Anolis sagrei: one gene and its partners. The protein of the gene in region 4 purifies or fractionates together with the protein of the main gene of each other region. This does not show direct contact. Links are inferred from orthologs where the notes say so. Each region holds a gene or a part of one and is shown on either strand. Other genes may lie near its edges. The genes, in order: KLHL12, MIOS, SEC23A and SEC13.

Region 1 (6,898 bases), on a different chromosome or scaffold from region 4:
TAAACACCATAGAATACCTCGAGAAGAACAACCAAGAAGAACTAGCACTACTAAGTCTTGACGCCGAAAAGGCGTTCGATAATCTCAATTGGAATTACTTAAAATTACTAATCAAAGAACTAGACTTAGGATATCAGTTCCATAATGCCATCAATTCAATCTATAACTCCCAAGAAGCCAGGATGATAATAAACATGCAAGAATCAAGCCCCCTGAAAATCTGTAAAGGCACGAGACAAGGATGCCCCCTGTCGCCTCTATTATTCATCCTGAGCTTAGAAACCCTTCTTAATTCTATCAGAGAGGATCCTGACTTAAGAGGCATCAAAATAAATAAGGAAAGATATAAACTAAGGGCTTTCGCGGACGACTTGTTGTGTATCATCAGCAACCCCATAGAAACAATCTCCAAATGGATAACTAAAATTAAAGAGTACGGGTCAGTAGCGGGCCTAAGGATAAATAAAAGAAAGACGGAGATACTAACTAAAAATATGTCCCAGAAAAGAAAGGAAGAGCTTTCCACCCTAACAGAATTTAAAGTAGTAGAGAAAATACGATACTTGGGAATAACGTTAACAGCTAAAAACTCCCAACTAATAAAAAACAATTATGAAAAGATATGGAAAGAAGTACAGAAGGATCTAGACAATTGGAAAAATCTGAAGCTGTCTCTGCTAGGGAGAATCTCTATAATAAAGATGAACATCTTGCCCAAGATGCTATTCTCTTTTCAGTCCCTACCAGTAATCAGAAATGTAAACATCTTCAAGCAATGGAACAAAACCATCTCCAAATTTGTATGGCAAGGGAAAAAGCCCAGGATCAAGCGTCTGATACTTATCGATGACAAAAGAAGAGGCGGCCCCGGCCTCCCAGACTTGAGGTGTTATTATGAAGCCTGCGGTCTGATATGGATCAGAGATTGGATCCTATTAACAAACAAAAACCTACTTTCCCTAGAAGGTGTAGACCTCAGGCGAGGCTGGCACGCCTATCTGCACTACGATAAAACAAAGATCGAAAGGAACTTTAACAATCATTATATAAGAGCAGGCCTAATGAAAATATGGGAGAGACACAAAAAAAGACTATATAATAAAACTCCACTGTGGCTCTCGTCCCTAGAAGCCCTTCACCGGAGAGAAATGGGCTGGCAACAATGGCCTACTTATCGCGACATCCTAGAAAAGGCAGAAGGAAAATATGTACTTAAAGATGAAAGGAAAATAAAAGAAATCTTTCCTAACCTCTCTTGGCTAAACTATAGACAACTGGTTGATAGCTACAAGATAGACAAAATCGCAGAATTTGCTGATCAAAATGGTTTCCTGGACAGCATATTGAAGACAAACAACAAACTTATCACAAAACTCTACAAAAAATTACTAGAGTGGACCACTGAAATGGAACAAGTAAAAAACTCAATGATCAAGTGGGCCCAAAACATAGGCCACCAAATTGAACTGAATAAATGGGAGAAAGTTTGGAACCAAAGAATGAAATTAACCTACTCATATGAATTAAAAGAAAATCTTGTCAAAATGATCCATCGGTGGTACCTGACTCCTCAAATCATTTCAAAATGTTATAAAAACACCTCAAACAAATGTTGGAAGTGCGAACACCAGATTGGGACTTTCTTCCACATCTGGTGGTCTTGCCCCATAGCCAAAAGATACTGGACAATGATTCAAAAAGATATTCAAAAGATCTTAGGAATACAAATAGAAAACAAACCAGAATTCTTTCTCCTGGGAATGTATGACATTAAGGAGGAAAAAAATAATGACAAATTATTCCATTACTTAATTACAGCAGCACGGATCGAATTCGCTAAAAAATGGAAACAGAGAGAAGCCCCTCAAAGAGAAGACTGGATCAATAAAATCCTTGATATAATGACCATGGATGAACTGACATATTGGGTAACACCAAACCATGGCATCCCAAGTAAACCTACGAACTGGGGCTTAGTAAAGGTCTTCCTTAAGAAATTGAAAATAGACATCATTTATTAAAAATAAAAATAAATAAATAAATAAAATCACAAAAGAGTAAATCACAAATCCAGTGTCGCAAGAAAGGAAGAAGCATTAAAGAAGCTAAACTGAAAATATTTATAGAAAATCCTCATTGAAGAGATGGAAGCTCAAAGTTTTTAACTACCCTATAGCCCACCCACCCCCCCTCTACCCCTGCCCCATCTTCATCCGACCCCTTCCCTACCTACCTCCCCACCCTACATCCCTTGGGAGTATCGCCAATAACAGGGCACCCCTGTATTTTTCCTACTGCACTATCCGCTATATATTGTTCTCCCTCTATCTATGTATTTATGTATCTATGTATTTAATAAAAATTTATTAAAAAAATAAAATAGTTTAACTTTTTTTTGTCATGTCAGGAGCGACTTGAGAAACTGCAAGTCGCTTCTGGTGTGAGAGAATTGGCCATCTGCAAGGACGTTACCCAGGGGACGCCCGGATGATTTGATGTTTTTATCATCCTTGTGGGAGGCTTCTCTCATGTCCCCACATGAAGAGCTGGAGCTGACAGAGGGAGCTCATCCACCTCTCCCCGGATTCGAACCCACTGCGCCACCAGGGATTCCAGTCATTTAACATTGGATCAAACTTAAAGAGCACTTTAAAAAAGTTATAGTTGCCCCTCTGTATTGGCAGATTCAGCCCTTTGAAGTCAACTATCAGGCAGATGGCGCCTTCAATGAGAATGAGTTTGAGGCCCCTTCCACACAGCTGTATAAAATCCACACTGAACTGGATTATATGGCAGTGTGGACTCAGATAACCCAGTGCAAAGCAGATACTGTGGATTATCTGCCTTGATATTCTGGGTGATATGGCCGTCTGGAAGGGCCCTGAAACCCCTGAGCTAAGGCCCCTTCTATACTGCCATATAAAATGCAGATTAGTTGTTTTCATAGAATCATAGAATCAAAGGGTTGGAAGAGACCTCATGGGCCATCCAATCCAACCCCCTGCCAAGAAGCAGGAATATTGCATTCAAATCAACCCTGACAGATGGCCATCCAGCCTCTGTTTAAAAGCTTCCAAAGGAGCCTCCACCACACAGAGTTCCACTGCTGAACGGCTCTCACAGTCAGGAGGTTCTTCCTCATGTTCAGATGGAATCTCCTTTCTTATAGTTTGAAGCCATTGTTCCGCATCCTAGTCTCCAAGGAAGCAGAAAACAAGCTTGCTCCCTCCTCCCTGTGGCTTCCTCTCACATATTTATACATGGCTATCATATCTCCTCTCAGCCTTCTCTTCTTCAGGCTAAACATGCCCGGCTCCTTAAGCCGCTCCTCATAGGGCTTGTTCTCCAGACACTTGATCATTTTAGTTGCCCTCCTCTGGACACATTCCAGCTTGTCAATATCTCTCTTGAATTGTGGTGCCCAGAATTGGACACAATATTCCAGGTGTGGTCTAACCAAGGCAGAATAGAGGGGTTATTTCCCTAGATCTAGACACTATGCCCCTATTGATGCAGGCCAAAATCCCATTGGCTTTTTTTGCCGCCACATCACATTGTTGGCTCAGGTTTAACTTGTTGAACTGGATTAGAGGGCAGTGTAGACTCATATAATCCAGTTCATAGTAGATAATGTGGGGTTTTATTCAGGTGTGGGAGGGACCCCAGAGAGCAAGCACTGCTCCATCTCCCTTGACTTCTGCTTGACTGAGGGACTTTATCACAACGCGGAGGCCGAAACGTAGAAACTCCCTGTTGCTTGGCAACCACAAGGAAGCCGAATCCCTCCGCCCGCGACGCGCCTTTTCGCCCATTCAGCCGCTAGGCGGCGAGGCTTCTCTTCGCGCAGGTTGAAACCAAGGAGCGGCGTCCTCGCGGCTGACGTCATCCAGGCGCGCCTGATGCGGCGGCAAAGGAAGAGGAGGAGAAGGAAGGAGCGGGACGGGCGGGCCGCAGGAGCCGGGACTCTCTCCCCTCCTCTCCCCTCCCCTCCCCGCGGGGAGGGCGCGGCCGACGGCACGGGCGGAGGGCCTGCTGGGAGGCGGAGAGGCGGCCCGGCCGGCCCCTTGCCGCCCGAGGAGGCTGAGCCGGGAGCCAGGCCTCTGGGCCGCCCCCCAGGAGGGAACGCCAGGTAAAGGAAGGAACACAGCCCCACTTGGCGGCCTGTCTAGTGTTATCAGGCCTTTGTCACTGAAGGCATTCCCTATTGGAAAACAAAGTATTCCGTTTCAATGTACCTGAATTCCTCTACACTAGTCATGGGCCAACTTGAGCCCTCTTTCCAGGTGTTTTGGACTTCAACTCCCACCATTCCTAACAGCCTCAGGCCCCTTCCTTTCCCCCCTCGAAAGGAAAGGGCCCGAGGCTGTTAGGAATTGTGGGAGCTGAAGTCCAAAACACCTGGAGGGAAGGCCCAAGTTTGCCCGTGCTTGCTTTAGATTCTGGTGAACTGTAGTTGTCATTTTACAAGACCTTCACCTTCCTCCCCTTCCTCAATGGTGGGAGTAGAAGTCCAAAACACCTGGAGGGAGGGCTCAAGTTGGCCCATGCCTGATCTACACTATGCAGTGGGATGTTTGGGTTCTAGTAATCATCATTTGAAACTCTATACCCCACCGTTACAAGGGATAAGGGTTTAATTTGTGGCTGCAGAGATAACAGCGATTACGAATTGGGTCCCTCTTTTTGAAACACTCAGCACTGTATATGATGTTGTGTAAAAAAAAAAGGCCTTCTCTGTGGTGGCTCCTGAGCTGTGGAACTCCCTGCCTAGGGATATTAGATCAGCCCCTTCCCTCCTGACCTTTCAAAAAAGAGTGAGCAAGCGTTTGGAACCACAGCATGACCAAAAACTCATATTGGAAATGAACTAGGGAACAACTAAGATAATGGAACGGTTGAGGATTTGAACAAGAAGACAGTTTATATAATTTTTATTAATCATTGGTTTTTATAGTTTTTAAATGTATTGTGATGTTTTGCTTTTACATATGTATGTATTTTTTAATACATGGCATCTAATTGTTGCCAACTTGTACGCCACCCTGAGTCACCCTCAGGCTGATATAGGCGGGATACAAATGTCTTAAATAAATAAATATTTATATCCTGCTTTTGGAGCCCCCAGTGGTACAGCAGGTTAAACCGCTGAGTTGTTGAACTTGCTGACCGAAAGGTCAGCAGTTCGAATCCATGGAGCGGGATGATCTCCCACTGTTAGCCCCAGCTTCTGCCAACCTAGCAGTTTGAAAACATGCAAGTATGAGTAGATCAATAGGTACCGCCCTGGCTGGAAGGTAACAGCGCTCCATGCAGTAATACTGACCACATGACCTTGGAGACTTCTACAGACAACACCAGCTCTTTGGTGTAGGAATAGAGATGATCACCACCCCCCAGAGACGGACACGACTAGGCTTAATGTCAAGGGGAAACCTTTACTTTTTTTTTATCCCACCCTATCTCCCCATGGGGTATACACTCCCAATGGGGTGTATATTAAAGCCAAAATAATGAAGGCATTATTAAATGTTTAACTTGTGACCTTTGGTCCACCATGTATTTACATCCCTACTGAGTATTCGTGGAGTCTAAACATTAAACTAATTCATGTTATATATACACCATATATATAGAGAGAGAAGTAGCCTGGAGGTAATTTTGTGCACAGTGTTTTTAATAATGTGTATGAAACATGGATTGTATTCATTGAACCATCAGAAAGCAAATATTTATTTATTTATTTACAGTATTTATATTCCACCCTTCTCACCCCGCAGGGGACTCAGGGCAGATTACAATGCACATATACATGGCAAACATTTAATCCCATTTAGACATGCAACATATATAGACACAGAGGTAATTTTACATTCCAGCTTTTCTGGCTTCATGAGGATATGACACTCAGTCATCCATGTGAACCAGGACAGTTAAAATAGTGCCAAACAGCATTAATTCTACAGTATAGATTAGGCATGGGCAAATTTCAACCTCCAGTTGATTTGGTCTTCAACTCCCACAATTCCTAACAACCAGACAAATTGAAGTCCAAAACGCCTGGAGGGCTGAATTTTGCCCCGGTATAGATGCACCCTAGATGCCCTCAGATACATCAGACACTTGATTTAAAAAATATTTTCAAGTTTTAGATGGTTGAATCCATGGAAACTAATGGCCAACTGTATTTTGAAAATTCGAATGCATCTTTTGTTAACCTTACAACTAATATACTAAAATTATATATACCATATGTGTGTGTATGTATGTATGTATACACACACAGTATAATAGGAAGATTTAAAAGTAATAGAAATGTATGTCTAACCTAGGCAACTTCTGAATTTTCCTCGCTCCATCTCCCTGCACTGTCACTGATCCACCTTTATTACATCTTGTCCTTACATCTGATGTTTGTATTATCTCAGTCTGTGGCTTTGTATTGTGTTGGTGTCCTACAGTGCACCTACTGCACATTTGATAATAAGCCAATATTTAATAGTTGATTATTTTGAGGTATATTGCAATGTAACTGAATAGAAGAGTTTGCATGAAAATGGCTAGAGCAGAATGATCTACAAGCTAATTTATAGATATGTACAGGAGAGACAAAGTTCCTCATTCTTCATCTTTAGACTTTGTTAAATTTGGCCTTGTGTTCATCAGTAAACAGATGTTTTTATCCCACAGGTTACTGATACGTTGAACCTGCCTCCACAGCTCTCTTGTTGGCTGGAGTAACTCACTATGGCTCCTAAAGATATAATGACTAATTCTCATGCCAAATCCATTCTCAATGCAATGAATTCTCTGCGAAAAAGTAACACGTTATGTGATGTGACCCTTCGTGTGGAACAAAAATACTTTCCAGCCCATCGGATTGTGCTAGCTGCTTGCAGTG
Region 2 (7,265 bases), on a different chromosome or scaffold from region 4:
CTAGGACAGCAAAACTAACTAAAATGGACTGAGGCTATTGTTACACTGTGATGATGCAGCCTGGGACATTTTTAATACAGAAGAAGTGAGACAACAGAAGATCAGCTGGGACTATCCCCGGCAAATCAGAAGAAATGGTGCATATGGCAATGGGAAAGACAATTTGCTCAAGGTTTCTGGCTGAGAGTCTAAGAGACCTGGGTTACAATCCCCCATTCAGTCAATAAAACCCATTAGGTGAGGCACACTTTCTCAGCCCTAGATGAAGCTGGAGGTACCTCCCTGCCCTTTTGAAATATATTGTCTAGAAAACTTTGTGAAGGTTCACACACACACCCAAAGGAGACTGAGAGGAGAGGAGAGGGAGAGAAGGTGGAAGGAAGAATCATAGAGGGTTGTTGTGAGTTTTCTGGGCTGTATGGTCATGTTCTAGAAGCATTCTCTCCTGACGTTTTGCCTGTATCTGTGATAGGCATCCTCAGAGGTTGTGAGGTCCTAATCACCTCTCAACAAAGGATTTTCCCAGGCAGTAGCAAGCCACACCTAAAAACTGTCAGGCCATCGAATGCTAATCAAGGTGACCAATTGAAACAGTCACACCTACCTCAAACAGACAAGAGTTCTTTCTCTCACCCTGGACCTTCCACAGATATATAAAACCATTTTCCTAGTTTCCAACAGACCTCACAACCTCCGAGGATGCCTGCCATAGATGAAGGAGAAACGTCAGGAGAGAATGCTTCTGGAAAATGGCCATACAGCCCGGAAAACACACGACAACCCAGTGATTCCAGCCATGAAAGCCTTCAACAATACAAGAATCATAGAGTTGGGAAAGACAACATGGGTTATCTAGTCCCATCCCCTGCCATGCAGGAAAAGCATAAAGTATCCCTGACAGATGGCCATCTGTTTAAAAGCTTCCAAGGAAGGAGCTTCCACCATGCTCTGAAGAGAAGAGTCCCACTGTTTAACACAGGGGTCCTTCAACTAAGGCCCGGGGGCTGGAAGCGGCCCTCCGAGGTCATTTACCCGGCCCTCGCTCAGGGTCAGCTTAAGTCTGAAATGACTTGAAAACACACAACAATAACAACAATCCTGTCTCTCACGACCTCCACTGAAACGAGCTCTCCTCCGTAAATAATCTGTCCTTGTTTATCTTGTGTTTATCTCGCCTGAGTTTTTAATCTGTTTCTACCCAGTTTTCTTTTATCCATTACATGTAGCTCGCCCATGTTATTGCGTTTATTGTAATTGTATATTGTTATGTTGTCTTTTGTTTTATGTAATTGCGTTATTATTGTTTATTATTTGCGTTTTCGGTTTTGCTTTATTTCATGTAAATGTTGTTTTGGGCTTGGCCTCATGTAAGCCGCACCGAGTCCCCATTGGGGAGATGGAGCGGGGTACAAATAAAGTTTATTACTATTATTATTATTATTATTATTATTATCAGCCAAAAGTAGGCCCACACTTCCCGTTGAAATACTAATAATTTTATATTTGTTGAAATTGTTCTTCATTTTAATTAATGTATTGTTTTAAGTGTTTTTTTGCACTGCAAATAAGATATATGCATGTAGCTCGCCCATGTTATTGTGATTATTGTAATTTTATATCGCTATGTTGTCTTTTGTTTTATGCAATTGTGTTATTATTGTTTATTATTTGTGTTTTCGGTTTTGTTTTATTTCATGTAATTGTTGTTTTGAGCTTGGCCTCATGTAAGCCGCACCGAGTCCCCATTGGGGAGATGGAGCGGGGTACAAATAAAGTTTATTATTACTATTATCAGCCAAAAGCAGGCCCACACTTCCCATTGAAATACTAATAATTGTATATTTGTTGAAATTGTTCTTCTTTTTAATTACTGTATTGTTTTAAGTGTGGGTTTTTTGCACTAGAAATAAGATATATGCAGTGTGCATAGGAATTCATTCATTTTTTTTTCCAAATTATAATCCGGCCCTCCAACAGTTAGAGGGACTGTGACCTGGCCCTCTGTTTAAAAAGTTTGTGGACCCCTGGTCTAGATCAAGGGAAGTCAGAGTGCCACTCTATTCTGCTTTGGTCAGACCTCATGTTGTTCATTCGTTCAGTCATCTCCGACTATTCGTGACCTCATGGACCAGCCCACGCCAGAGCTCCCTGTTGGCCGTTACCACCCCCAGCTCCTTCAAGGTCAGTCCAGTCACTTCAAGGATGCCATCCATCCATCTTGCCCTTGGTCGGCCCCTCTTCCTTTTACCTTCCATTTTCCCCAGCATAATTGTCTTCTCTAGGCTTTGCTGTCTCCTCATGATGTGGCCAAAGTACTTCAACTTTGTCTCTAGTATCCTTCCCTCCAATGAGCAGTCGGGCTTTATTTCCTGGAGGATGGACTGGTTGGATCTTCTCGCAGTCCAAGGCACTCTCAGGGTCAGACCTCAAACTGTGTCCAAAAGTTTGTGGACCCCTGGTTTAACAGCTCATAGGGGCAGGAAGTTCTTCCTAAGGTTCAGGTGGAATCTGCTTTCCTGTAATTTGAACCAACTGCTCTGAATCCTAGTCTCCAGGGCAGCAAAAAACAAGCCTGCTCTCTCTTCCTTATGACACCCAGAGAAAAAGATTGGAGAAAGAGAGGGGGATAATAGGGAGGTGGGGAGAGGAGGGAAGGAGGAAAAGTGAGGAAAAGGAGGGAAAGAGAAAAGGAGGGAAAGGAGGGAAAGAGAAAAGGAGACATAGACGAAGAAACAAGAGACTGGGGAGAGAAATAGAGAGAAACTGGGGAAATGGGGTGAGCGATGGAGAGAGAAAGAGGAGAGGGAAGGAGGGGGGAGAAAGTAAACAAAAGAGTTTGGGGGGAGGAAGGGAGAAAGGGAGGGACTCACCCCTTGACCCCTTTCCAGGACTCCGACCCTCGAGTGAAGCAGCAACAGCAGTCTGGGGAGACAGGCAAGGGCTCAGACATAGATCTAGGAAAGCTCTGGCACTAGGGCAGCGCCTCCAGCTTGTAGAGAGGCTTCCACTTCCGGCGTCAAACCCAACTACATCCGGAAGGCGTGGCTAGAGAAGTGACTTTGAGGACTTTGAGGTGGGCGGGACTTCCTCCTCTCTGATCAGAGTAAGTCTTCTCTAGGACTCACCCTGATCAGAGGGGAGGAAGTCAGGAAGTGGCTGCAAGTGGGATTCTGCCTTATGGACAGAGCAATTCTGTCCACATAGAATCCTCCGGTGGCGCAGTGGGTTAAATAAACCCTTGTGCCGGCAGGACTGAAGACCCGATAGGCCGCAGGTTCGAATCCAGGGAGAGCGCGGATGAGCTCCCTCTGTCAGCTCCAGCTCCCCATGCGGGGACATGCGAATTTTTTTCCTGGCAAAATAAATGACAGAATAGGAGCATTTGACCAGTATTTAAGATGTGGTGTCGAGGAAAGCCTCCCAACATTTACTATCTCAGCCTAGCATTTGCTGACTTTATTACCAAGATTCAGTGTCATTTTGTTTGCTTGTTTTGGCTTACTGTGGGGGTTTTTTTGGGGGGGGGGGGATTCTAAATTCTAAATTTTATTTCATTTTGTATTGATTTTGTAAAATTACTTAAATTCACTTTCATCGAATTTTAAAAATCAAAGGCACAAACTGAACACGAACCAACAATGTGATGCAGCAGCTTAAAAAGCCAATGCGATCTTGAGCTGCATAGAATCATAGAATCAAAGAGTTGGAAGAGACCTCATGGGCCATCCAGTCCAACCCCCTGCCAAGAAGCAGGAATATTGCATTCAAATCACCCTTGACAGATGGCCATCCAACCTCTGTTTAAAAGCTTCATTCAAATATTTAAAATATTGCATTCAAATCACCCCTGACAGATGGCCATCCAGCCTCTGTTTAAAAGCTTCATTCAAATATTTAAAATATTGCATTCAAATCACCCCTGACAGATGGCCATCCAACCTCTGTTTAAAAGCTTCATTCAAATATTTAAAATATTGCATTCAAATCACCCCTGACAGATGGCCATCCAACCTCTGTTTAAAAGCTTCATTCAAATATTTAAAATATTGCATTCAAATCACCCCTGACAGATGGCCATCCAGCCTCTGTTTACAAGCTTCCAAAGAAGGAGCCTCCACCACACTCCGAGGCAGAGTGTTGCACTGCTGAACGGCTCTCACAGTCAGGAAGTTTTTCCTCGTGTTCAGATGGAATCTCCTCTCTTGTAGTTTGAAGCCATTGTTCCGTGTCCTAGTCTCCAAGGAAGCAGAAAACAAGCTTGCTCCCTCCTCCCTGTGGCTTCCTCTCACATATTTATACATGGCTATCATATCTCCTCTCAGCCTTATCTTCTTCAGGCTAAACATGCCCAGCTCCTTAAGCCGCTCCTCATAGGGCTTGTTCTCCAGACCCTTGATCATTTTAGTCGCCCTCCTCTGGACACATTCCAGCTTGTCAATATCTCTCTTGAATTGTGGTGCCCAGAATTGGACACAATATTCCAGGTGTGGTCTAACCAAAGCAGAATAGAGGGAGTATAGTGTCTAGATCAGGGGTCCTGAAACTAAGGCCCGGGGCCCAGATACGGCCCTCCAAGGTCATTTACCTAGCCCTCGCTCAGGGTCAACCTAAGTCTGAAACGACTTGAAAGTACACAACAACAATCAGTCATCAGTCAAGAGCAGCCCCACACTTCCCATTGGAATACTAATAAGTTTATATTTGTTAAAATAGTTCTTCATTTTAATTACTGTATTTTTTTAAGTGTTTTGCACTACAAATAAGATATGTGCAGTGTGCACAGGAATTCATTCATGTTTTTTTTTTCAAATTATAATCCAGCCCTCCAACAGTTTGAGGGACTGTGACCTGGCCCTCTGTTTAAAACGTTTGAGGACCCCTGGTCTAGATCAAGGGAAGTCAGAGTGCCACTCTATTCTGCTTTGGTCAGACCTCATACTGTGTCCAATTCTGGACATCACAATTCAAGAGAAGTATCGACAAGCTGGAAAGTGTCCAGAGGAGGGCAACTAAAATGAATGGTAAAACATCAAAACAACTGGCTGTCCCCTGGGCAACGTCCAGTTCTCTCACACCAGAAGCGACTTGCAGTTTCTCAAGTCACTCCTGACACAGGGGGAAAAAGGAGCAATAGAACTCTGCTGGGTTCAATGAGGCTGATTCCTACATTAGGTCTTATATAGGACCCACCCTAGCAATAAGCCTCAGCAGAGCTCTATGGCCAAATACACATTCATATAATTGCTCTATCCATAAGGCAGAATCCCATTTGCAGCCACTTACTTCCAATTAATCTTATAGCCACTTACCTAAGAGTAATCACAGCATCATTGAAATAGAAAACCAAGTAAACCTCAAAGGTTTAACCTCAATTGTGACCTTGAACAAGTTGTAAGTAAAAATCAAGATGGAAATGGTATGGTAGATGGAAGCAAAGGGAGCAAGCTTGTTTTCTGCTGCCCTGGAGACCAGGACGCGGACCAATGGCTTCAAACTACAAGAAAGGAGATTCCACCTTAACATTAGGAAGAATTTCCTGAGTGTGAGAGCTGATCAGCAGTGGAACTCTCTGCCCCTGTGTGTGGTGAAGGCTCCTCCTTTGGAGGCTTTTAAGCAGAGACTGGATGGCCATCTGTTGGGGGGTGCTTTGATTGCGATTTTCCTGCGTCTTGTCGGGGGTTGGACTGGGTGGCCCATGAGTCTCTTCCAACTCTATGATTCTATGTGTATATGGCACCCTAATATCGCATGATACAAAGTGGGATATCAATATTTTAATAAAATCAGATCACTTATTTATTTATTTCGGGTACTTTTACCCCGCCCTTCTCAACCCCCGAGGGGGGACTCAGGGCGGCTTAAAAAAAGGCACAATTTGATGCCTATACAAAATTACACACAATGTACAAAACCATAGTTAAAACAATTATCACAGTTAAAACAATCAAAACAATCAATATCCAACAAAGGATTCCCCTAGGCAGTAAGAAGCCAGACCTTAAAACTGAAAGGCCATTAAAGGCTAATCAAGGTGATCAATTGCAGCATTCATACTTGCCTCAAACAGACAACAGTTATTTCTCCCATCCTGGACATTCCATAGATATATAAACCCCATTTTCCTAGTTTCCAACAGACCTCACAACCTCTAAGGATGCCTGCCATAGATGCAGGCGAAACATCAGGAGAGAATGCTTCTGGAACATGGCCATACATCCTGGAAAACTCACAATAACCCAGTGATTCCAGCCATGAATGCCTTCGACAATACACAGACCACTTTTATTTTATTCTTAGGGGTTAAACAACAATAATAATAGAAAAAAAGAATAATAGAAAAGAAAAAAGTTTGGATTATTGGTGTCGCCATACCAGGTGACAGTCAAATTGATGAAAAACAAAAGGAAAAACTCAGCCATTATCAGGACCTCAAACTGGAACTGCAAAGGCTCTGGCATAAACCAGTACAATGGTAATTGGCTCACTGGGTGCCGTGCTAAAAGTTCTATTTGAAAACAATAAACATTGACAACAAACATTGGCCCTGAGTCGCCTGCGGCTGCCCTGTGTCACCTTCGGGCTGATATGGGCGGGATATAAGTGATGTAAATAAATAAACAAACTATGACAAAATCACGATCTGTCAACTGCCAAAGGCTACCTTACTTGAATCTGTGTGCATCATTCGCAAATATATCACAGTCCAAAACACTTGGAAAGTATTTGATTTGTGATTTTGTGATACGAAATCCAGCATATATATATCGTTTGCTGTGTCATACCATGTTTTTGTGTCAGTAAAATAATAATAATTTCTTACCTGCCTCTCCTCATAGCTTGAGGCAGGTTACAACACATGATCATCATAAACATACACCTATTGAAATGTATTTCTACAAAACACATATTAAAAGACATAGAACAAAGATTAAATCACAAGAGTTTCAAATTCATGATTAATAGGCCCTGAATGAAAAGAAATGCCATTGGAAACCACAAGGTGGGGCTCAAATCCACAGTTCATCAGCAGAAAAAGAGATGCAGGGAAGACATAATCATTTTGGGAACTTCCGACATGCTTATTCCAATTTCTCTTAAACCTCTTGCGCTTGAGAAGTCAATTTCTAAGTCTGCCTGAAAAAACATACACCAATTATCACAGCAATTCATACATTCTGACATTTCAGATGTGATTAAGGAACATCAGGGTTTGACTAAGATGCCAAAATTATTAATCAGGGAGAACACAAAAGCTTGTAGATGCT
Region 3 (7,343 bases), on a different chromosome or scaffold from region 4:
TCTCCCATAATGCCCAGCGCCTTTTATTTACATAGCTCCGCCTCCTCCTGTCGTAGCCTTCTTTGGCTTGCTTTTCCAAGCCTGGAGGAATGATGGAAAGTCTCAGTTTAAGGCATTTTGGACGTCAATTTCTTAATTCTTAGGTCATGCTGGATGGAAATTGCAGTGCAACTGTCAGGAGGGCCAGATCATCATGATCTCCAGGAAAAAAAGGATTTCTCTACTTTGAAGGGATGGGGAAATACAACACCTATTAAAGATGATCATTGATGCTTAGTGGAACTATTTAGGGCAAAGGGAAGAGGTCATCAGACACAAAAGCAAATACTTCTGTTTGGCACCATCTCCTATGGGAGGTGTTTACAGAAAGAACACATAATAATAATAATAATAATAATAACAACAACAACTTTATTTATACCCCGCTCCATCTCCCCCAGGGGGACTCGGTACAGCTTACATGAGGCCAAGCCCATCAGTACAGTACACAACACAGGTATATTATTACTAATATTATTATTATATAATCAGAATATATTATTATTAATATATTATTAATAATATATTAATAGTATATTGGGGTTAAACCACTGAGCTGCTGAACTTGCTGACTGAAATGTTGGTTTGAATCCGGGGAGTGGGGTGAGCTGCCATTGTAAGCCCCAGCTTCTCCCAATCTAGCAGTTTGAAAGCATGCAGACGTGAATAGATCAATAGATACTGCTTCTGTGGAAGATAATGGTGCTCCATGCAGTCATGCTGGCTGCATGACCTTGGAGGTGTCTATGGACAATGCCAGCTCTTCACCTTAGAAATTGAGATAAGCACCACCTCCCAGCAGGCCCGTAGCCAGGATTTTGATTCGGGCGGGGCTGAGTCTGAGTGAAAGAGGGTCTACCCTAGCAAACCTTTTGTATCGTTACCCCAATACCCCCATGCATATGGGATATATTGAGCATGGTGATCAGATCATGATATGAATAAACAGATCATGATATGAATAAACATATGAATAAATAGTTGAAATAATGGATCAGTAAGGCCTTCTTGCGGACCACCCTGAGAATTTCGGGGGGGGGGGGGCTGAAGCCCCTCAAGCTCCCCCCCCCGGCTACATGCCTGCCTTCCAGAGTTGGACATGACTAGACTTAATGTCAAGGGGAAACCTCTACCTTTACTAATAATATATTAATATATATTATTAATTATTCATCTGCAGCAAGGCCAATACAATTCTTGACCAAAACAGAGCAGAATCCTGAAGAACCGGGGAAACCATTGTGAAAGGAGGGTGATTTTGCTACACTGAAATCCAAGGATGAAAAAAGTGTTTGCAAATGAAATCAAGCACATATAAATAATCTGCAATAAGGAAGGGTGATAGGGTACTTGACAAAAATAAGCACCTGTTAAAAAAGGAGTCCAACTCTACATCTTTCATCCCTAGGAAAAATTGTAAGACACATCAAAATACTGAGAGTGCATCTACACTGCAGAATTAAGGCAGTTTGACACTTTAACTGCCATGGCTCAATGCGTCATGATACAAATATACACTCAAAACAATTATACCATACTGTATTTTTTCAGCTGGCAAATTCCCCCAGCCATCAATAGCAATACATTTGTTAGTGTTAAAGCATTCTGATTTTCCTCAATATAACATGAGGAACATAGATGATGGACCTCCAAAATGTACCTCTTATCACCTTACAGTTCTGCATGAAATCCCCCCCCCCCCGTCCCCACAAGTGTTTTGGATTTTTCCGGATGTTGGAATATCTGTATTTCCATATAGATACATAACGTAAAAGCCAAGTCTAAAAATGGAATTCATTTGTTTCCTATAAACTTTACATGCATGTTCTGAAGGTACTTGTATGCAATATTTTGAATAATTTTGTATATGAGACATAGTGTGATTCACTGAATTATCAGAAAGCGAAAATATAGAAATTATCTCAGCCACCCATTTGGGCAATTCTGGTTTTCAGAATTCCAAAAAAGCTACACACAACCTGTACCAGAGTATTGAACAAATCAGCAACTATTTTTTAAAAAAACAGCAGCAATAACAACACTGTGTTCTTATAACACGGGCAAATCAATGAAACTGCATGCTATGAAGCATTGGATTGGAATCATTATGGCCCTGTCTACACTGACCATTTAGTGCAGTTTCAAACCAGTTTTTGAAGAAAGTGGTTTGGCTGTGCAAATGACCACATAGGAAATACTACATAGAACTGGTGTAAGGCACGGATGGCGATTATACAAACTGCAGAGCACTGATGCGCATCAAGGGCTTTCTTTTGTGGTGCTTTTGCAGGAGTTTGTTGTCTGGCTGCCACAGTTTGAAGCCAACTTTGTATTGCATTAAATGGGCAGTGTAGATGAGGCCAATGGCAGCGTTGACCGGAGCATATGCACATTCGGAGGTTCACAAAGTGAATGAGCAGAGTGTGTTTTAGCTTGCAGGTGTAATATTGTGGGACATGTAAACTGGGCTTGTGAAAAATGTGTTTCATCTAATAATAGGATTTTTAAAGAGATTCTGCTGAAACACTTGCACAAACATTTTAAAGAGAGACAGTCTAGTGTTGTTTGCACCACCCAAATGATACTCTGAATGCGCCTTCAAGTTGCATAACAATTTATGGCAACACCCTGAATTTCATCGTGTTATTTTAGGCAAGGAATCTCAGAGGTGGTTTGGCCAGTTCCTCCCTCTAGAAAAAAGCCTACAGCACCTGGTATTTGTTAGCTAGTACCATCCAAGAACCAACACCAGGGTTAACCTTGTTTAGCTTCCAGATGAAAAGGGATCTGGTACTTTTAGCCTGTTTCATCATAGACTATCACTTGTGGCCGAGTATGATTGCCTGCCAAGTATGATTGGCCGTGGGTCCATAGGTGACTTGACTGGACCCGCATGTTCTTTCGCAGAGAGGACATTGATTTTCAGATGGAAGATGGTCTTGACAAGGGGTGGCTTGACGCACCTTCCTTTGAAACATTTCTCCCTTTCGCCCTCCATTAGTGCCTCTTTGAATTCCACAGCACTGCTTGTCACAGCTGACGTACAGTTAGAACGCTCACGGGCCAGACTTTCCCAGTTTATGCCACAGTTTTTAAGTTTAGCTTTAAGTCCATCTTTAAATCTCTTTTCCTGTCCACCAACATTCCATTTTCTGTTTTTGATTTGGGAGTAGAGTAACTGCTTTGGGAGTCGGTGATCGAGCATTTGGACAATGTGGTCCAGGGGTCCTCAAACTTTTTAAACAGAGGGCCAGGTCACCGTCCCTCAAACTGTTGGAGGGCGGGATTATAATTTGAAAAAAAAGTGAATGAATTCCTATGCACACTGCACATATCTTATTTGTAGTGCAAAAAACACTTAAAAACAATGCAATAATTAAAATGAAGAACAATTTCAACAAATATCAAATTATTAGTATTTCAATGGGAAGTGTGAACCTGATTTTGGCTGATGAGATAGGATTGTTGTTATTGTTGTGTTCTTTCAAGTTCTTTCAAAATTAGGTTGACCCTGAGCGAGGGCTGGGTAAATGACCTTGGAGGGCCTCATCCGGCCCCCGGGCCTTAGTTTGAGGACCTCTGATGTGGTCAGTCCAGCGGAGTAGATGGCGTAGGAGCATTGCTTCAATACTGGTGGTTTGCTTCTTCCAGCACACTGACATTTGTCCGCCTGTCTTCCCAAGACATTTGCAGGATTTTTTGGAGGCAACGCTGATGGAAATGTTCCAGGAGTTGAGCGTGACATCTGTAGATAGTCCATGTTTTGCAGGCATATAGGGTTGGGAGGACAATAGCTTTATAAACAAGCACCTTGGTCTTCCTATGGATGTGCCAATCCTCAAACACTCTCTGCTTAATTCGGAAAAATGCTGCACTCGCAGAGCTCAGGTGGTATTGTATTTCAGTGTCAATGTTGACTTTTGTGGAGTGGTGGCTGGCAAGATAGCGGAAATGGTCAACATTTTCTAATGTTACACCATTAAGCTATATTTCTGGCATCGCAGAGGGATTGACTGGTGACTGCTGGAAGAACGGGCATAGGCAAACGTGGGCCCTCCAAGTGTTTTGGAATTCAACTTCCAACAGTCTCATCTTAAGTGGCTGAGGGGGGGGGGGAAAGAAGAGGCCTGAGGCTGTTAGGAATGGTGGGAGTTGAAGTCCAAAACACCTCAAGGGCCCAAGTTTGCCCCCCATCACTGTTAAATAGTGTGCAGGCACACATATAGCAGTGTAGCCTCTCCTCCTCCTCCTTCTGTCTCTCTGTGTATCTGAGGCGGGGCCTGCTTCTCTGGCCGCCGCCTCCTGCTCTCCTTCGCTCTGCCTCCGACGTGGCACCGGCTTCCCCATCAGCCATGTTTGTTTGCGTCGGCGGCGCTGGGTCCAGAGTGCGGCGGGGAGGCTGAGAGAGGCCCAGAAAGGCTGAGGGAAAGGCCCCCGCCCCTTCCTCCTCCTCCTCTTCGGCAGCCGAGGGGCGCAGACCCAGTCCCAGCGAGGCCTCGACTTGGTGTGGCTGAGGTAAGTCGCTCTCAGGAGGGCCCAAGTTTGCCCATGCCTGGCTTACACTGTAGTTTGTAGTTGTAGCCTCCTGACATCCCTGTAACTGCCCTGGCTCAGTGCTTATAGAGTCCTGGGAGCTGTGGTTTCAGTTGTTGTCAATGCAAAGAAGGAAAAGAAGAATTTAACACCACGCCTCCTTTCCTTTTCGCCCTTCCCTGGTTGCCTGAAGAGAGTGGAAGTATAAGGGAGCACAGCACCCACACACTGTAAAATTGGTGTTTTCTTTTGAGCACCTCTATAACTGCCATTACTCCACAGCATTGAGCCATGGCAGTTGCTCAAAGCCTTCACTCAAGGCTATGGTGGTCATAGGAGTTGTAGTTTATTAAGGTCTTTTGCTTCCTCTTGCCCCAAAGGGTTGTTCCTCACCAAACTACAACTCCCATTATTTATCCCACAGCATTGAGCCATGGCGGTTGCTCAAAGCCTTCACTCAAGGCTATTGTGGTCATGGGAGTTGTAGTTTATCAAGGTCTTTTGCCTCCTTTTGCCCCAAAGGGTTGTTCCTCACCAAACTACAACTCCCATTAATTATCCCACAGCATTGAGCCATGGCAGTTGCTCAAAGCCTTCACTCAAGGTTATTGTGGTCATGGGAGTTGTAGTTTATTAAGGTCTTTTGCCTCCTCTTGCCCCAAGGGTTATTCCTCACCAAACTATAACTCCCATTAATTACCCACAGCATTGAGCCATGGCAGTTGCTCAAAGCATTCTTGGGGATCTATCTCTCCCAGAATATTCTTTTTTTAAAACAATTATTGCCACCTGGCAGACACCAAAGGGTGACAAAGACATGGACAAACAGACTGAAGGATACAATAATAATAATAATAATAATTTGGATCCCCCAAATTATTATTATTATTATTATTATTATTATTATTTGGAAACAATAAACATTGACAAAATCACGATCTGTCAACTGCAAAAGGCCACCTTACTTGGATCTGTGTGCATCATTCAAAAATACATCACACAATCTTAAGACACTTGGGAAGTGTTCGACTTGTGATTTTGTGATACGAAATCCAGCATATAGATCTCGTTTGCTGTGACATACTGTGCTTTTGTGTCAATAATAATAATAATAATAATTTGGAAACAATAAACATTGACAAAATCACGATCTGTCAACTGCAAAAGGCCACCTTACTTCGATCTGCACGCATCATTCAAAAATACATAATACATCACACAGTCCTAGATGCTTGGGAAGTGTTTGAGTTGTGATTTTGTGATACGAAATCCAGCATATAGATCTTGTTTGCTGTAACATACTGTGTTTTTTGTGTCATTAAAATAATAATAATTAAAGTAAAGGTGGTCCCAGTGGTGATCGGCACACTGGGTGCAGTGCCTAAAGACCTTGGCCTGCACTTAAACACAATTGGCGCTGACAAAATTACCATCTGTCAGCTGAAATAGGCCACCCTACTTGGATCTGCATGCATTATTCGCCGATACATCACACAGTCCTAGACACTTCGGAAGTGTCTGATGTGTGATTCTATACAACAGCTAGCATAGTGATCTTGTTTGATGTGTACTAATCTTGTTATGTTTCATAATAATAATAATAATAATAATAATAATAATCTGGCAAAAGAAGACTCTCTGTGGACAGGGGTTGGATTGGATGGCCTACAGGGTCTCTCCTAACTTTATGATTCTATGATAGTTTCTGGGAAAAACTGAGAGCAAAACTGACAAGGGAAAAACATAGATGTGGCTCCTAAAAGTAACTTTGAAAAAGGAGACTGATTCTTGCAGCCTAAGAACAAGCAATTAGAACCAATGCCATCCAAGCCAGAATTGAAAAGTTGATGACAGATCCCAAGTGTCGACTCTGCAAGGAAGCAGATGAAACGATGGATCATATGCTTAACTTCTGCATGATGATCGTGTAGACTGACTACATGCAGAGGCATAATACTGTTGCTCAAATGATCCATTGGAACTTGTGCCACAAATACTATCTGCCTTTGACAAAGAACTGGTGGGATCACAAGCCTGGAAAAGTTGCAGAAAATGAACACGTCAGACTACTTCCGAATTCAGACTTCGGTCTCCTTTTTCAAAGTTCCATTTGTGAGCCACATCCATGTTTCTTCTTTGTCAATTTTGTTCTCAGTTTTTCCCAGGAATTGTCCATGGAGAGCTTTCTTTTGCCAGTCTTCTCTTCTGCATTGTATTTTTACGGTATTCCCTCTTTGTCTTTTGCACTTTAAGCAGTTTTCTACTATTGGCTTCCATCAATGTTGGTTCTTGACTGTCCTTCACATAATCTGCCAGTACATGTTAGTCTTCTTCTACTGTTTGTTTCACTTGCAGAAGCCCTCTGCCTTCTGATTTTCTGGGCAGGTAAAGTCTGTCAATATCACTATGAGGGTGAAATGAGTAGTGGATTGTCATCTGTTTTGTTGTTTTTCTGTCCAGATCATCCAGCTCTGCTTGTGTCCAGTTCACAATTCTAGCACTGTATCTGATGATGGGGATGGTCCAGGTGTTCATAGCCTTGATCGTATTTCTGCCATTTAATTTGCTCTTCAAAATATTTCTGACCCTTTGGACATATTCTGTACTGACTACATTACTACTACTACTACTACTACTACTACTACTATTATTGGACAGTTTGAATTTTGGTGTATTTCCAAAATGCACCAGATGAGATATTCTCAATTGGTGCCACTTATAGATAGAGGGTTTATGCTGAAGGAGTGTGTGAGTGAGTCCCTCTTTGGAGG
Region 4 (7,188 bases):
GTTGTTAAGCTTATTAGTTCTTGCCAGCATCCCCCCTCCCCCTCCTCCCCCCTCCCCACCACACTCTCAATCCCAGGTTCCGGGCCACCTCCTCTTCCGCCCCCTCCGCCACAGCAGAGCAACGTAAGCAGTATCCAGAGGGGGGCAGGGGACCACATGGGTGGCGACGATTCAGATGGTGGTATCGATATAGCCAGTTCTTAAAGTGCAAAATATCGTCAGGTCTTAAAGTGCCAATTCTTAAAGTTCTTAAAGTGCAACAATTTCTGGAACAGTCCGTCAATGAACGAGGATGATCGTAAATGATCGTAAATTACTCAGCAGCAACACACATTCAAAAGCACATTGATAAATGCTAGATCTAAAGTGCTCTACTTAACGGTATAAAGTGCGGCACGGAGGGACAGGGAAGGGGTGAAAGTGCTGATGCAATCTAGCAGCAGATGGAAGACGCTTGGGTGTTCCAAATCGTTCTTATAACAATGATAACAATAACAACAAGGACTACCGGGAGGTGCTAGTTGATAATTATACAACTACCCGTGTACGATAATGGTAGTGGTTAACTAATATTGCTATGACCCCCAATCGGGCTTAGACGGTTGGTAACCAGCGGATAGGCTTCCGGAGTTGGTACCTCGGGGGTGGGGCAGCACAGATGGTTAGTCACACTTTGCTCAGAGGATCACAGAGGGGAAACAGAGGGGAAACCAGCTTAAAGATCTCCAAACAAAAAGAGAACCCGAATGCCGGCCAAAGGTCCGCACAGCTGTCTACACGAGAGTAGCATTCAGTAAAAGCGGACTTGCCCAAAGGTGGAATGGCTCGGCGGCCCAACAGCGGCCCAGCAACCCAGTGGGGCCTAGCAACGATGACTTTGCAGCTGGCAGCACTCGGCCTTTCTTCCGGCCAAGCGGCCCTCGGTTTCAACAATAGCCTGATGGAGGTTGGCAGCACGAGGTCCTCTGTACCGGCGGGTGAAGATGAGAGGCGAGATGGGTTCAGCCGACAATGGGGAGCTCGGTGTAGAGACTCGAAAAGCTCGTTAAGATGGAGGGTGAAGCTCGTCTAAAATGGAGGGTGAAGACGGACTCGCCTGATGGCCAAAAACGGGCCCAGCAACTCAGCAGTGGCCCAGCAGCCCGGCAAAGCCGCAGCGATGACTCTCTACCGGCCGCGGTTGCGGGGGCTAGGGAGCGCCCAACCCCCCACCCGGCGGCCGGCGGCGGCGGCGGCAATGGTCCGGCAGCGGCTGCTCAGCGGCTCGGCGGCTCGGCGGCTCGGAGCGGCGGCCCGTCACCCGGCTTCAGGCTTCCTCGCTCCCCGGCGGCGGTTCGTCACTCGTCACCTGGTAGGCGGCGATTCGCCGGCCCGGCGGCACGGCGGAGGGGGCCAGGCAGCCCTCGGCCCTTCCTTCCGGCCAGGCTGCCCTCGGCCGCGGCGGCCCAGCGGCGACCAGGCGTCCTCCCTCACGCTGCCCTTCAGCAGCCTGCCAGTGGCCCTCGCAACGATCCTCCTACCATCAATGGTGGCAGCGGGCCAACGGTAGCGACAACGGCAGCTGCAGCGATCTCGGCGGCCGTACTAGAAGGCGGTAAGATGGCGGGCGTCTCCTTCCCCTTCTCAATCTCCCGGGTTTTTTCGCCTTCCCCAGCCTCTTTTCCGGTCTTCCGCCCCTCTATCAGGGGCTTGAGGCTTGGGTTTCTCTCACCCCCCGTCTAAGAGATGGTAGGCAGGGGGGGGGGGGGGCTCCGGATTCCCCCAGATTGAAAAATTTGGCTGAGCAGCCCAGCGTTTGCTGCCAGCCACCATACCGGAACCGGAAGCTTGTATACCGCCTTTCTCAGCCTATAGGCAACTCAAGGTGGTTAAACTCTGCTATGGCTGACTTCTTTGGTTGAATTTGTCTGCAATGCCTTTCATGTTACGTGATGGGCCACACAGTTTACAGAAATCCTACACAGCCATAGCAGAGCACTTGATGAACCAACCTGTATACAGCATACTATTTGAGAACACAGAAATGTTGGACCACTATGACAACCACCATGTCAGGCTACACTGAGAAGTCATTGAAATCCACAATGTGGACAATTTCAACAGAAAGGAGGAAACCATGAAAATGAACAAAATCTGGGTACCAGTATTTAAAAAACTCTAAAATCAGGAAAGTAAATAAAGAACAACACTAAAAAAAAACCCCAGAGAATTCCAGACAAGAAACAATCAGGGACAGTTAACACCTCCCAACAAAGGATGTCCCAGGCAGGAAGCAGCAAGTCTTTGAAGCTGCAAAGCTATTCAATGCTAATCAAGATGGCCAACTGCAACATTCACACTTGCCTCAAGCAGACAAGAGTACTATACCCATTTCACAGCCAATAAACTGAACTGTCAAGCCAGTACAGAACTAAACAACAACAATCTCACCATACTAGAAGATTTTCCGATCCAGAGTTTATCCTTTTCGCACTAATCCAGTTTTCGCTTTCAAAACAGTGCAAGGTAAGCGCCCTTTAAAACAAACCCAAGCAACCCTGTGAGAAGAGCCTCCAGCAAGGTATAACTCAGGGGAGGGGATTCACCTTTGAACACTAGTAGTATGGAACAAAGTACAGAACTGCCTTTCAGCCTCCAAGTTAGGGAAGGGAAAGACGTGTAATCAGGTCTGGGCCAACTTGGGCTTAAGCGGCTGAGGGGGGAAAAGGAAAAGGCCTGAGGCTGTGAGGAATGGTGGGAGTTGGAGTCCAAAACTCCTGGAGGGCCCAAGTTGGCCCAGGCCTGTTTGACAAGGCCTTTCGCCTTCTCCGCTGGGCCTCCTCCCTCCTACCCATCCCCGGGCAGCTCCTCACCATGGCGGCGACGGCGGAGGGACCTTCGGCAGGACCGAACCCGGCTGCAGACACGGCTCTCCCGGCAGCACTCAGACGTGGCAAAGCGCCGCCGAGGCGTGGGTCCAACACGGAAGCGCGTCCGGGCGGAAACATCGTCCCCCTGTAGGCGGCACAAAGGTTCCGCCTGCAGCTTGGTTCCTCCTCCTCCTCCTCCTCCTTCTCCTCCTCCTCCACTGCACGAAGTGGAGGTTCCAGGCCTCGATTCACCGACACTGGAGGATGAATGCAGTTCGACACCACTTAACATGCCTCGTCTCAGTGCTCAGGAATCCCGGGAAATGTAGCACCGGGACTGTAGCGTAGCTGGTTGAGTGTCAGCTGCATTAAGATCACTTCTGAGCAAAAGGTCATGAATGAGTTCAAAGCCAGCCCGGGTCGGAGTGAGCTTCCGACCATTTGTGTAGCTTGTTGTCGACCTTTGCAATCCGAAAGACAGTTGCATCTGTCAAGTAGGAAAATTAGGTACCACCTAGGTGTGGGGAGGATAATTTAACTAATTTATGAGGCAAGAAAAAAGACTCCAGCAAAAGCATGCTGGGAATGCGGAAGTACTTCATTATTATTTTTTTGTCGTGTCAGGAGTGACTCCTGGTGTGAGAGAATTGGCTGTCTGCAAGGATGTTGCCCAAGAGACGCCTGGATGATTTGATATTTTTATCATCCTTGTGGGAGGTTTCTCTCATGTCCCCGTATGAGGAGCTGGAGCTGATAGAGGGAGCTCATCCACCTCTCCCTGGATTTGAACCTGCGACCTGTTGGTCTTCAGTCCTGCTGGCACAGAGGTTTAACCCACTGCGCCACCGGGGGCTCCTTAGTACTTCATTAGTGTCACAGATGGACGATGAAAGCAACAGCTCCCCTGGTGGCCAGAAAAAAGTTAAATAGCCTCTGCCTGTCTGTCTATATCTGTTGTGTGTCTTTGGCATTGAATGTTTGTCCCCGGCGGGGTGAGAAGGGCAGAATATAAATACTGTAAATAAATAAATAATAAATAAATATTTTTTCCAAGGCCTTTAGCCTTCTCTGTCAAAGAATGTAGTTCCAAATTACAACTTCTATGACTTCCTAGCATTACAATGGTAGGTAAAGGTAAAGGTTTTCCCCTGACATTAAGTCCAGTCGTGTCCCACTCTGGGGTGTGGTGATCATGTCCATTTCTAATCCAAAGAGCCAGCGTTGATCGTAGACACCTCCAAGATCATGTGGCCGGCATGACTGCATGGAGCGCCGTTACCTTCCCACTGGAGCGGTACCCATTGATCTACTTACATTTGCATGTTTTCAAACTGCTAGGTTGGCGGAAGCTGAGGCTGACATCGGAAGCTCACGCCGCTCCCCAGATTCGAACCTATGACCTTTCGGTCAACAAGCTCAGCAGCTCAGCGCTTTAACCCACTGCGCCACCGGGGGTTCCTTATAACCCAGCATATAAAAACAAATTATAACATAACATCTAAAATTAAAGTACATCACGATCTATCAATTTATGAATTAAATGGAGGACACGTGGCTCTAGAGCAGTACGTGTGAAAAAGATCTTGGGGTCCTTGTGGCCAACAAGTTAAACATGAGCCAACAATGTGATGCGGCAGCAAAAAAAGCCAATGGGATTTTGGCCTGCATCAATAGGAGAATACTGTCTAGATCTCGGGAAGTCATGCTGCCCCTCTATTCTGCCTTGGTTAGACCACACCTGGAATATTGTTTCCAATTCTGGGCACCACAATTGAAGAGAGATATTGACAAGCTGGAATGTGTCCAGAGGAGGGCGACTGAAATGACCAAGGATCTGGAGAACAAATCCTATGAGGAGCGGCTTAAAGAGCTGGGCATGTTTAGCCTTCAGAAGAGAAGACTGAGAGGAGACATGATGAGGGCCATGTGTAAATATGCAAGGAGAAGTCTTAGGGAGGATAGAGTTGGCTTGTTTTCTGCTGCCCTGGAGACTAGGACACAGAACAATGGCTTCAAACTACAAGAAAGGCGATTCCATCTGAACATTAGGAAGAACTTTCTGACTGTGAGAGCTGTTCAGCAGTGGAACTCTGCCCCGGAGCGTGGTGGAGGCTCCTTCTTTGGAAGCTTTTAAACAGAGGCTGGATGGCCATCTGCCGGGGGTGCTTTGATTGCAATTTTTCTGCTTCTTAGCAGGGGGTTGGACTGGATGGCCCCTGAGGTCTCTTCCTACTCTATGATTCTAAAGCTTGGGTCCTAAAATAATGCAGCTTGACACTCCTTTGACTATCATAGCTCAATGCTATGGAATCCTGGGAGTTGTAGTTTGTAGTTTCCTCCTTGTCATGGAAGTCCTGATAAAAACTACACATCCCATGGTTTCATAGCAGTGGGCCATGGAAGTTGAAAGTGCTGTCATGTTGCATTCATTCTGAACAGTAATACCCTGACATGACCTACCTTTGGAAAAATGCCTTCAGTAGCACGTTCTTTTACCTGCTGTGCAATCTCACACTACTCTATTTTTCTGGATCCCCTGTCCAGATACATTACACTGCTGTCTCAAGCAGTGTTTTTAAATTTTTAATCCATTGAAATCAGCCCACTCAATATGATCAATCTCTGTGTTTCAAATGTTGTGATTTTATATTGTTGATGTGTTCTTAAAGTGGTTTTGTGTTGTACTTTATTTTATTTTTATATTTTTGCTGTGTCCTGTTGCATATTGTTGTACTGTACTGCTGGGCTCGGCTTCATGTAAGCCGCCCCAAGTCCCCTTGGGGAGATGGTGGCGGGGTATAAATAAAGATTATTATTATTATTATTATTATTATTATTATTATTAGCCGCCCCCTGCCATGCGTTGCTGTGGCCCAGTCTGGTGATCTGGAAAATAAAGTAATGAGAAAGTGTTGGTTTCTAATATACTGTATGTAATTTATTTATGCTTGTGGGTAAACAGTATTTCTTGTTGTTTCTTTGTCAGTGTTGATGTGAAGATTGTCTAGTTTGCCTACTCTGGAACATGCAACATATAATTGTCCTTCTTTAGGGGTCCCTTTCAAATCTATAATACTATATCTCTCTGTGTGTGAATCATATATATCTATCTATGGCTGGATGGCTCTTTGTCAGGAGGATTTTGATAACGTTTTCTTGCCCTGGTGAAGGGAGTTGGACTGGGTGGCCTTAAGTATTTTCTGTTGGTCATGGGGGTTCTGTGTGGGAAGTTTGCTCGAGTTCTGTCATTGACAGGGTTCGGAATGCTCTTTGATGCATTTATTTATTTGATGCATTTATTAACCGCCATTCTCAGCCCTTTAGGGCGACTCTTTGGTTGTAGGTGAACTATAAATCCCAGGAACTGCAACTCCCAAGTGTCAAGGTCTATTTCCCCCAAACTTTATCTGTGTGCATATTTGGGCATATGGGATAATTGTGCCAAGTTTGGTCCAGATCTATCATTGTTTGAGTCCACAGTGCTCTATGAATATAGGTGAACTACAACTCCCAAACTCAAGGTGAATGCCCACCAAATGCTTTTAGTGTTTTCTATTTGTTATGGGAGTCCTGTATGCCACATTTGGTTCAATTCCATCATTGGTAGAGTTCAGAATGCTCTTTGATTTTAGATTAACTATAAATCCAAATAACTACAACTCCCAAATGTCAAGGTCCATTTCCCCCAAACTCCATCTTTGTTCGTATTTGGGCGCATGGAATATTCATGCCAAGTTTGGTCCAGATACATCATTGTTTCAGTCCACAGTTCTCTCTGGATGTAGGGGAACTACAACTCCAAAACTCAAGGTCAATGCCCACCAAACTCTTCTAGGGTTTTCTGTTTGTCGTGGGAGTCCTGTGTGCCGCGTGTGGTTCAATTCCATCATTGGTGGAGTTCAGAATGCTCTTTGATTGTTGGTTAACTATAAATCCCAGCAACTACAACTCCCAAATGACAAAATCATTTTTTTAGTGTTGGTCACTCCTTGGGTTAGTAGGTGTCTTGTGGCCAAATTTGTCAGCAATTCGTCCAGCGGTTTTTGAGTTATGTTAATCCCACAAGCGAACATTACATTTTTATTTATATAGATCATTATTACTCTGCAATATAGATTCACAGTATAGAAGACAAAGGTAAGAGTGTGACGTGTTAGCCAACCCTTGCATTTCTTCCACTGCAGCAATGATCCACTGGGAAAGAGGAGGGAAGATCCTGTTTCTCTTTCCCTCCTCCTCCTCCTCCTCCTCTTTTTTCTGCTGCTGAATGTAACTGGAGAGGCCGCTGCGGATGTCTGCCGCCAGGGGGCGCTGCCCGCTCACCCGCGGTGGCTCAGAC

The links.
Region 1: the proteins of SEC13 (region 4) and KLHL12 purify together in Homo sapiens (affinity purification with mass spectrometry; 3 studies listed by BioGRID and IntAct, with this or other methods). This does not show direct contact. The link is inferred for Anolis sagrei from reciprocal best matches to the Homo sapiens genes SEC13 and KLHL12.
Region 2: the proteins of SEC13 (region 4) and MIOS purify together in Homo sapiens (affinity purification with mass spectrometry; 5 studies listed by BioGRID and IntAct, counting the BioPlex papers as one, with this or other methods). This does not show direct contact. The link is inferred for Anolis sagrei from reciprocal best matches to the Homo sapiens genes SEC13 and MIOS.
Region 3: the proteins of SEC13 (region 4) and SEC23A fractionate together in Homo sapiens (co-fractionation; 3 studies listed by BioGRID and IntAct, with this or other methods). This does not show direct contact. The link is inferred for Anolis sagrei from reciprocal best matches to the Homo sapiens genes SEC13 and SEC23A.

The regions. Positions count from the first base shown.
Region 1 is NC_090024.1:206,377,264-206,384,161, forward strand, and holds the start of KLHL12 (kelch-like protein 12), read left to right. Parts: upstream 1-3,875; 5' UTR 3,876-4,129; intron 4,130-6,687; 5' UTR 6,688-6,744; coding exon 6,745-6,898. UniProt on the Homo sapiens protein: Substrate-specific adapter of a BCR (BTB-CUL3-RBX1) E3 ubiquitin ligase complex that acts as a negative regulator of Wnt signaling pathway and ER-Golgi transport.
Region 2 is NC_090026.1:99,931,857-99,939,121, forward strand, and holds the start of MIOS (GATOR2 complex protein MIOS), read right to left. Parts: upstream 3,022-7,265; 5' UTR 2,871-3,021; intron 1-2,870. UniProt on the Homo sapiens protein: As a component of the GATOR2 complex, functions as an activator of the amino acid-sensing branch of the mTORC1 signaling pathway. The GATOR2 complex indirectly activates mTORC1 through the inhibition of the GATOR1 subcomplex.
Region 3 is NC_090021.1:303,519,758-303,527,100, reverse strand, and holds the start of SEC23A (protein transport protein Sec23A), read left to right. Parts: upstream 1-4,336; 5' UTR 4,337-4,554; intron 4,555-7,343.
Region 4 is NC_090022.1:49,892,476-49,899,663, forward strand, and holds the start of SEC13 (protein SEC13 homolog), read right to left. Parts: upstream 3,003-7,188; 5' UTR 2,988-3,002; coding exon 2,853-2,987; intron 1-2,852. UniProt on the Homo sapiens protein: Functions as a component of the nuclear pore complex (NPC) and the COPII coat. At the endoplasmic reticulum, SEC13 is involved in the biogenesis of COPII-coated vesicles.